Linked DNA regions of Macaca fascicularis. The protein of the gene in region 1 interacts with the protein of each later gene in a biochemical or structural test. Links are inferred from orthologs where the notes say so. Each region holds a gene or a part of one and is shown on either strand. Other genes may lie near its edges.

Evidence for each region.
Region 2: the proteins of DTL (region 1) and KMT5A form a complex in vitro, tested with the Homo sapiens proteins (2 studies listed by BioGRID, with this or other methods). The link is inferred for Macaca fascicularis from reciprocal best matches to the Homo sapiens genes DTL and KMT5A.

What each region holds. Positions count from the first base shown.
Region 1 is NC_088375.1:69,843,354-69,847,759, reverse strand, and holds the start of DTL (denticleless protein homolog), read right to left. Parts: upstream 2,910-4,406; 5' UTR 2,749-2,909; coding exon 2,697-2,748; intron 1-2,696. Other genes in the region: INTS7 (integrator complex subunit 7), read left to right, coding at 3,202-3,295. UniProt on the Homo sapiens protein: Substrate-specific adapter of a DCX (DDB1-CUL4-X-box) E3 ubiquitin-protein ligase complex required for cell cycle control, DNA damage response and translesion DNA synthesis.
Region 2 is NC_088385.1:130,533,545-130,537,395, forward strand, and holds part of KMT5A (N-lysine methyltransferase KMT5A), read left to right. Parts: intron 1-737; coding exon 738-957; intron 958-2,378; coding exon 2,379-2,466; intron 2,467-3,851. UniProt on the Homo sapiens protein: Protein-lysine N-methyltransferase that monomethylates both histones and non-histone proteins. Specifically monomethylates 'Lys-20' of histone H4 (H4K20me1).

The sequences.
Region 1 (4,406 bases):
AACTAGGAGGCCATTTGGGAGACTTCTTACAATCCAGACAAGAAGGCATTAGGGCCCAACCTAGGGAAATGGAATGGTAAAAATAGAACACATCCAGGATACAGTAAAGATGCATAATCACAGAGATTTTAACGAAATGTTTTGAATGTGTAACTATGAGGAAGATGAGGAAGTCTTTAATTGACTCAGGTTTCTGGCTGGGAAAACTGGTTTAAATAATGAGGCCACTCCCTAAAATTGGTAATATAGCAGGTTTGGGGGAGAAGTTGAGTTCAGTTTTGGGTATTTGAGTTTGAGATGCTTGTGGGATTGACAGTCTGCGTGATAATCAACCCACACAGCTTTTACAGAAATGAATCTCAGGTACATGAAGTCTTCCAATAACATCATTTTGTACAATGTCATTTCCTCATACTGTTCATGAGAAAAAAAATCAATTCCTGTTTGAGGCCACTGGCTGGGTGGAGTTTGTACATGTTCTCCCCATGTTCACAGAGGTTTTCTCCAGGTACTCTCGTTTCCTCCCACATGCCAAAGATGGGTATGTTAGATTCACTGGCATGTCTACATGGTCCCAATAGACAATGGGTGTGTGTGAGTGCTTCCTGTGATGAAATAGCGTCCGGTCTAGAGCTGGTTTCCAGCTTGTACCATGAGCTGCCAGGATAGGCTCCGGGCACCCACAGTCCTGAGCTGGAATAAGTGTGTCAGAAAATGAATGAATACAAATAATTATATAATAAAAATGGTAAACTTTACAATAATCATACAAATGAATGACAATAAACGATTTGGTATGAAAGGGCTCAGTGAGCTGCCATATTTGTGATTGTTTTTGAACTGGGTGGTTGTAGGAGGTGCTCCAATTTTCAGTTTGCAAACATTTATTCCTTGATTTAGCCCACCACTACTACGACCGAGGTCACTCACTGATACGCCAAACTTGGGTAAATAATTATCTCACTTGTTTTTATTAATCTTTCTCAAATGTATGTATAGCACACAATTATTTCAACATTTAATATTAAAAGTGTTTTGGGTCTTTATTTAGAAGTTCAGTGGTGTTTGTATGACCAAAATATGCCACTGGAACTTAATTCTTGTTTATATCAAGTAGCCTATGGTAGAGTTGGTTTAGTTATACATTGTTTTCCCTAAAGTCACAGTTTCCAAGAGCCTATCTAGACATTAAGTGAGAACTTACCATATAAGAAATAGAAAGTTGTATGTACATAGAAGTGGAAGAAGCCCTGGTTATGGCTGTGATCATCCAAAGGAGTAGGAAGAAGAAGAAAAGGGGCCAAGGAGGGAACACCAACACTGAAGAGGAAAGGAGATGATTCTATAGATTTCAGTGGGTAACATATAATAGTGAATGAATTTCAGTGTCTATTGTGTAACAACGAATGAGTACTTGTGAACAGGAAAGAGGGAAGGGAAAGGTAAACACATGGAGAATTAGGAGAAAATCTGTCACAAAACAGTCTGAACAGCTCCCCCAGGACACACATATAGTAAGGTGTGGAGGTATAATAAAACCCAGGTAGCACTGTGCATACTGTCACTCTTAAACAGAGGACAGAGAAGTAAGTCAAACAAAGTCCCAGAAGAGAAAGAGGAGCATTTAGAGTATAATTACAAAGATTATCTATGAGGGAAAGAAATAAGAATGGTATAAAGTTTCAGATTGCTAGCAGGAAGTTGAGGGACTACTTCTCAGTCTCTTTCTCAATATTATTTTCCTAGACTCATCCCTGAACATAAAAATTCCCTTCTCAGGTTCCTTTTCCACATGGTTTCAAGAGGAAAAAGAACCTCTGGCTATAGTCGATGTTCACATGAGTGAGATTTTATTTCTGTCCAAGGTTAGTCTGCCTACTTACCATCCTTATCAGAAACTTACCAAGAAGTTTAAGTTGATGACACCCAAACCTAGCCTCAAATCTCTTATTGCCAATGTTTTAGCGTAAGAAAGTTAGATTTCTACATATTAACATGGGAATACGTTCAACTTATACCATTAAAGTGAAAAAACAGGACATTTTGATCCCATTTCTGAAAATAATAGATATTACCTCTAGCGTCGAAAACATCTGGAATAATATACTTCAATCTATTAACAGGGGTCATCTCTGGCGGATGTGGTTACAAGCATCTTTCACTCTAAATGTTTATGACCATGTAGTAAACGGGAAAAAAAAGATTTTGATCCTGTTAGAAGCAGATATCCTGTCTTCTCTGCTTGACTGAGTTCCTTAACAGTGGGTCATATTCACTGGTATATACCCATAGCAAATAGCTGGGCTCACTAAGATTCTACAACAAACGAATGAATAAATCAATGAGTATGAGTTTTGACCATCTCAAATAACTGTTGAGAGAAACATATACACACAAATGCATGCATTTTCCCGTTAACGCGCAATGGAGATGTAAGCTGTAAGAGGCCTTGGAAGGCAGTTATTTCGACGTCCATGCCTACGTACGATTTTAAAAGTCCGATTACGATTACAAGTGTTCCGAGGAGATGAAAGCACAGTTTTCTTCAGTAGTCCCAGCTAACACTAATTTACCCTTGCCATGGGAGAACTCAGAAGCTGAGTTCAGAATTGGAGTCGGCCCTGGTCGGAGGTGGCGTGTGTTTCGGGGTAGATGAATCCCGCCAGCCCCGAGCAGCGGTTGGGACCGTTACTCACCATTTCTCAGGACGCCAAGCTGGGGCTGGCGAAGCACCGAATTGAAGAGCATCAGGGCCGGAGGAAAAGGCTCAGCTGAGAGAAAAGTCGTAGAAATGCCTCCAAGTTCAGCAAAAATCGCAGCTTGCGCCTCTCACAACACAAATCGTTATCGCCTCCAACTCCCGCCACTGTAAGCCCCGGCCGCCAAACTCCGCGCCAAACTGACGTCACGCTCTCTGATTGGCTTCCGAGCGACGTCCGGGCGCCTCAGAGTCATTTCCCCCTTCGGATCCCCGCCTCCTTTTCTCCCAGCCGCGGGAACCTGGAGTCCAAGAGCTCCTTGAGCGCCTGCGCAGAGGGCAGCAGAGGCGACTGCGAACCGCGGGGTGACCAGGGCGCATGCGTAACAGGGCTTGACAGCGCGCGGAGGAAAAACCAACAAGAAGGCGGCGGGAGAAGATGGCGGTTCTGGGGTAGAGTTTGCAATCTTTCTGACTAGGCTAGTCGAGTAACTATTCGGGTCATGGCGTCAAACTCAACTAAGTCTTTCCTGGCAGATGCCGGCTATGGCGAACAGGAACTGGATGCCAACTCTGCCCTTATGGAGTTGGACAAAGGTATTCGAAAGAGCGGGCTGAATGGGTGAAACGGGCGTGGGGGGAAGTGGCGCCACCACGTGGTGGTAGCTTCAGAGGACGGGTAGGCGCATGCGCCTATCTTCGCTGGGCGGGGAGTGCCTGTGCTTTTGCTGGGGCGTGGGCTTTGACCCCTTCGGGAGGTTGCGGGAAATTTGCAGGATTGTTTGGCCTTAACCGGCTAAACAAGTGGCGAGCTCTAGTGAGAGGCCCGTTTTGACCACTTGAGGGAACAGCCCCCTATTTTCTAAGCAGTGGACAGTGGCTGGTTTCTAAGAAACACTACAAAGAAATTCTGAAATTGGTTTTCAGTCTGTTCATTTGAGACCAGGTCATCATGAAATGTGCTGAATAGTTGTCTTGCACCGACTTGACAGCGATTCATTTGATTTCCGTAGCTCTGTTACCTGCGGGTTACAAGGCAGGCTAACCATGGCCGAGACCATGCAAAAAGCCCTGCTCATTCTCTGCGGACAAGTTCCAGGAGTTCTGTTTCCTTGCTTACAGGGAGCAGTTTGGTGTAGAAGGAGCTTTGGGGTTGCACTGAGTTAAATTTCAGTGCCGCTAATTTTATGATTAATTTCATCTAGCCTCGGTTTGTCGTCTACCAAGTGGGTACAGTACCATTGAGCTGGCAGAATTGTTGTATTAAGTGACTTAATGATATGCGAAAGAAGCATTTAGTAAATGCTGAAGAGATATAGATATGGATTTGGGACGCAAGGTCGGAAATTTGTCAGTAAAGAACTCGACTGGTGATATGAAACCTGTTTCATATTAAGGATTTTTATTGTACGGGAAACATTTCGGCAGCTGGTATACAATTAAATCTTGATTAATCGTAGCCAATATATAATGTTGGAGAACAGGACTAGAACTCAGAAGGATCTCTGTTTAAGTCCCCTTTGAGCCACTTCCCAGTTTTCTGAGTTGGATATGTCTATTAACGTTTTTGGGACTCTTTTTCCGTTTATTTTTTAAACTGTGAATATTTTTAGTGGGTTAGTCTAAATAAGAGTTTCTCAGGCTCTTATAAAAGCTTTTACCTCCTGATAAACACAAAAATTTCACAACCCGCAATGGGATATTCCTT
Region 2 (3,851 bases), on another chromosome or scaffold:
GGCTGGTCTCGAACTCCCGACCTCAGGTGATCCACCCACCTTGGCCTCCCAAAGTGCTGGGATTACAGGCATGAGCCACCGTGTCGAGCCTATTTACTTAGTTTTTTAAAAGGAAAACATGTTTTAAAAATGTAAGCAGTTTTCCAACACTGGCACTCCACAAGTGTTTTAAGTGACAGATCATTGCCGTGTGTCTCCTGATACCCAGGCCAGTCTGCTGGGGCACCATGCTGAGAACTGCTGTGAACCTGGGGCTTCAACCCCACTAGAAGGGGGCCTTCTTTTTCTTTAGAGTCTGAAATGAAGGGTGCCGGGCAGCTCTTGGGGAAGTTTCTGCTTTATCACCTTACTCCTGTCCCTTAATGCCGTCCCAGCCTTCAGGAATGGAGCTTTTGATCTGAGTCTGCAGCCTGATTCCTGAAAGTTATTGATCGAGCGCCCTTGCCAGCATCTCTGTCTCTGGTGCCTCTGCCTCACAGGCTCTCTATCTCCCACGTCAAGACACAGAAGTCTAAAACCTCTGTCCAGTGTCTTGGTCAAAAAATCGAGCTGGAGCTAGGCACTCCTCCCATCATAGCCCATAGCGGACACGGGGCTTAGCAGGCCAAGGGCACTCCTGCCTGACAAACCCAGGATCCTCTCTTCTCAAAGCCTGTCTTAGAATGCAGCTGGTGGTCTAGAAATTGAGAGACAGAGTACAGAGTAAACCCCTGTCTTTCCTCCACCTCCGCCTGCAGAGAAAAGAAATGCTGGGAATGCAGTACGGAGCGCCATGAAGTCCGAGGAACAGAAGATCAAAGACGCCAGGAGAGGTCCCCTGGCACCTTTTCCAAACCAAAAATCTGAAGCAGCAGAACCTCCAAAAACTCCACCCTCATCTTGTGATTCCACCAATGCAGCCATCACCAAGCAAGCCCTGAAAAAGCCCATCAAGGGCAAACAGGCGCCCCGAAAAAAGTAAGTGTCCCCTTCAGTCCTCTTCCTAACGTGGAGCAGTTTGGTTCCTCTGACCCCAGGGAAGCCTGCTCAGGTGCCCGTGGGGGTACAGTGGCCACCTCTCAGCCTCTCTTACGTCAAAGACTCAGATGCCCCGAGTTATCAGCAGGGATGCCACTGTTTGTCAGTTTCTGGATCTGGCATGGGTTCAGAGTTCAAGAGCCTCTCCTTCCTCCCCTCCTCACCCACCCCAGCATAAGCAGCCCTTCTTTTTTATTTTTTTTTATTTTTTTATTTTTTATTTATTTATTTTTTTTGAGACGGAGTCTCGCTCTGTCGTCCGGGCTGGAGTGCAGTGGCCGGATCTCAGCTCACTGCAAGCTCCGCCTCCCGGGTTTACGCCATTCTCCTGCCTCAGCCTCCTGAATAGCTGGGACTACAGGCGCCTGCCACCTCGCCCGGCTAGTTTTTTGTATTTTTTTTAGTAGAGACGGGGTTTCACCGTGTTAGCCAGGATGGTCTCGATCTCCTGACCTCGTGATCCGCCCGCCTCGGCCTCCCAGAGTCCTGGGATTACAGGCTTGAGCCACCGCGCCCGGCCAGCCCTTCTTTTTTAAATTTATTTTTTTGTTTGTTTTTTTGGTGGTTGGTGTTTTTTTGTTGTTGTTTTGTTTTTTTTTTTTTGAGACAGAGTCTCTGTCGCCCAGGTTGGAGTGCAGTAGTGCAATCTCGGCTCACTGCAGACTCCACCTCCTGTGTTCAAGCAATTCTCCTGCCTCAGCCTCCTGAGTAGCTGGGATTACAGGTGCGTGCCACCACGCCCTGCTTATTTTTGTATTTTTATTGGAGACGGGGTTTCACCATGTTGGTCAGGCTGGTCTCAAACTCCTGACCTCGTGATTTGCCTGCCTCAGCCTCCCAAAGTGCTGGGATTACAGGTGTGAGCCACCATACCTGACTTGTGTTTTTTGAGATGTGGTCTCATTCTATCATCTAGGCTGGAGTGCAGTAACTCACTGCAGCCTCAATCTCTTGGGACTAAGTGATCCTCCTACTTCAGCCTCCCGAGCAATTGGGACCATAGGTGTGCACCACTATGCCTGGCTAATTTCTTTCCTTTTTTCAGAGACGGGGTTTTGCTGTGTTGCCTGGGTTGGTCTCGAACTCCTGGGCTCAAGTGATCCTCCCGCCTCAGCCTCCCAGAGCATTGGGCTTACAGGCGTGAGCCACTGCGCCCAGCCAGCAGCCTGTCTTTGAAACTCCTCTGAGGCCCTCATGGGCAGGTGAACTGAGTGACCCACAGGCTCCAGTGGACAAAGGTGTTTAAGTGACATCATCTCCAAGGAGCTGTGTGCCTCCTTGGTGTGTGCCTTCTCCTAAGGAGCTGTGTGCCTCTAGGTTTTCAGTCCTGATATTTATTTTCTCCTCTTCCCCTTACCCAGAGCTCAAGGAAAAACGCAACAGAACCGCAAACTTACGGATTTCTACCCTGTCCGAAGGAGCTCCAGGAAGAGCAAAGCCGAGCTGCAGGTAGTTGCGTGCTTTAAATTCCAGTTCGTGGAGGGGCAGGGTGGCCCACTGGGCAGTGCTTGGCATGTGTGTGTGTGTGTCCTGAGCTTTGTTTTCATCAGCTTGAGGCAAGTCTCTTGGCCCTCTGGACTTGGTTTTCTCCTGGATCTATCGGGGATCCTCACAAAGCTTGTCCTGCCTTTCTGATAGGGTCACTGCAGGGCTTGGTTAAGATACTTGTGTGAAGGAACCTTGTGACTTGTGGCATGTGGCAGGGAAAGCCTGGCGCAACTGTGAAGGTGGATTTTCCAGGACTTGTTGGCAGAGCCATTGGGAGCCTGGGACTGTGGGAAAGCCTGCCTGTTCTTTCAGAGGCTTTTCTTATCTGTTTGCTGGAAGTTTCCATGTTGTGGCCCAGGATGGTAAAGAGCAGTGGCTTGGAGCCACTTGCTGGTTGCGTAGCCTCGGGCCAGTCACTTACCCTGTCCATGCCTTGGCTCTCCAGTCTGTAAAATGGTACAATAACGTAGTACCTGCTAGGACTGTGGTGAGCATTCAGTAAATGTGCGGGTGCAAGAGGAACCTTCAGAACCATGCTTGACACTCAGTAAGTGCCAGCTAACTGTTACTATCGCCACCACTGCTTCCTCAGCGTTGTCACTCCTGTCTGGTCTTTCCCATGCTACTGCCATGCTAGGAGCCTGCAGACCAGTGAGCAGCACCGGCTGGCAGGCCGGCTGGCCTGTGCGGGCCTCTGCTGCCTTTTTGCAGAGGGCTGAGCTATGCAGCAGGCAGTCAATATTTGCTGCAGTGAGGTGTGGTTATTGCTTTTCTGTGAAGGAAACCCAGGGCGTGGCAGGTCCCTCTGCTCTTCCCCCTCAGGGACACCTGGGGCTGCCCCTCCGCTCTCCTTCACCCCCACAGTGACCACCAGGTTGGGAGAGGCACTCAAGATTGCATCCTACACAGAGGTGGGGACCCCAGCTTTGGCAGTTTCAGCATTTCAACCCTCATGCAGACTCCTTCAGTGTTCTTGATGTTAAATGTTCAGATACACAGTGGTCTAGTATTCTTTCTCTTTTTCTTTTAATTGATGAAGCTTCATTAAAAAAAAAAAAAAAAGTCAATTTTCTTCCCCACAGAGAGCAGCTTTGGTTTTATTGCCTGAAAAAGGCAATGTCTTTCAGCCGAGAATGAGCTGTTTAAAACATTTGCGGCAGTGGGAGACTGTGCTAGGTCACTTTTTTTTTTTTGAGATGGTGTTTTGCTCTTGTTGCCCAGGCTGGAGTGCAGTGGCATGATCTCGACTCACCACAAGCTCCACCTGTTGGGTTCAAGCGATTCTCCTGTCTCAGCCTCCTGAGTAGCTGGGACTATAGGTGTTTGCCGCCACACCTGGCTAATTT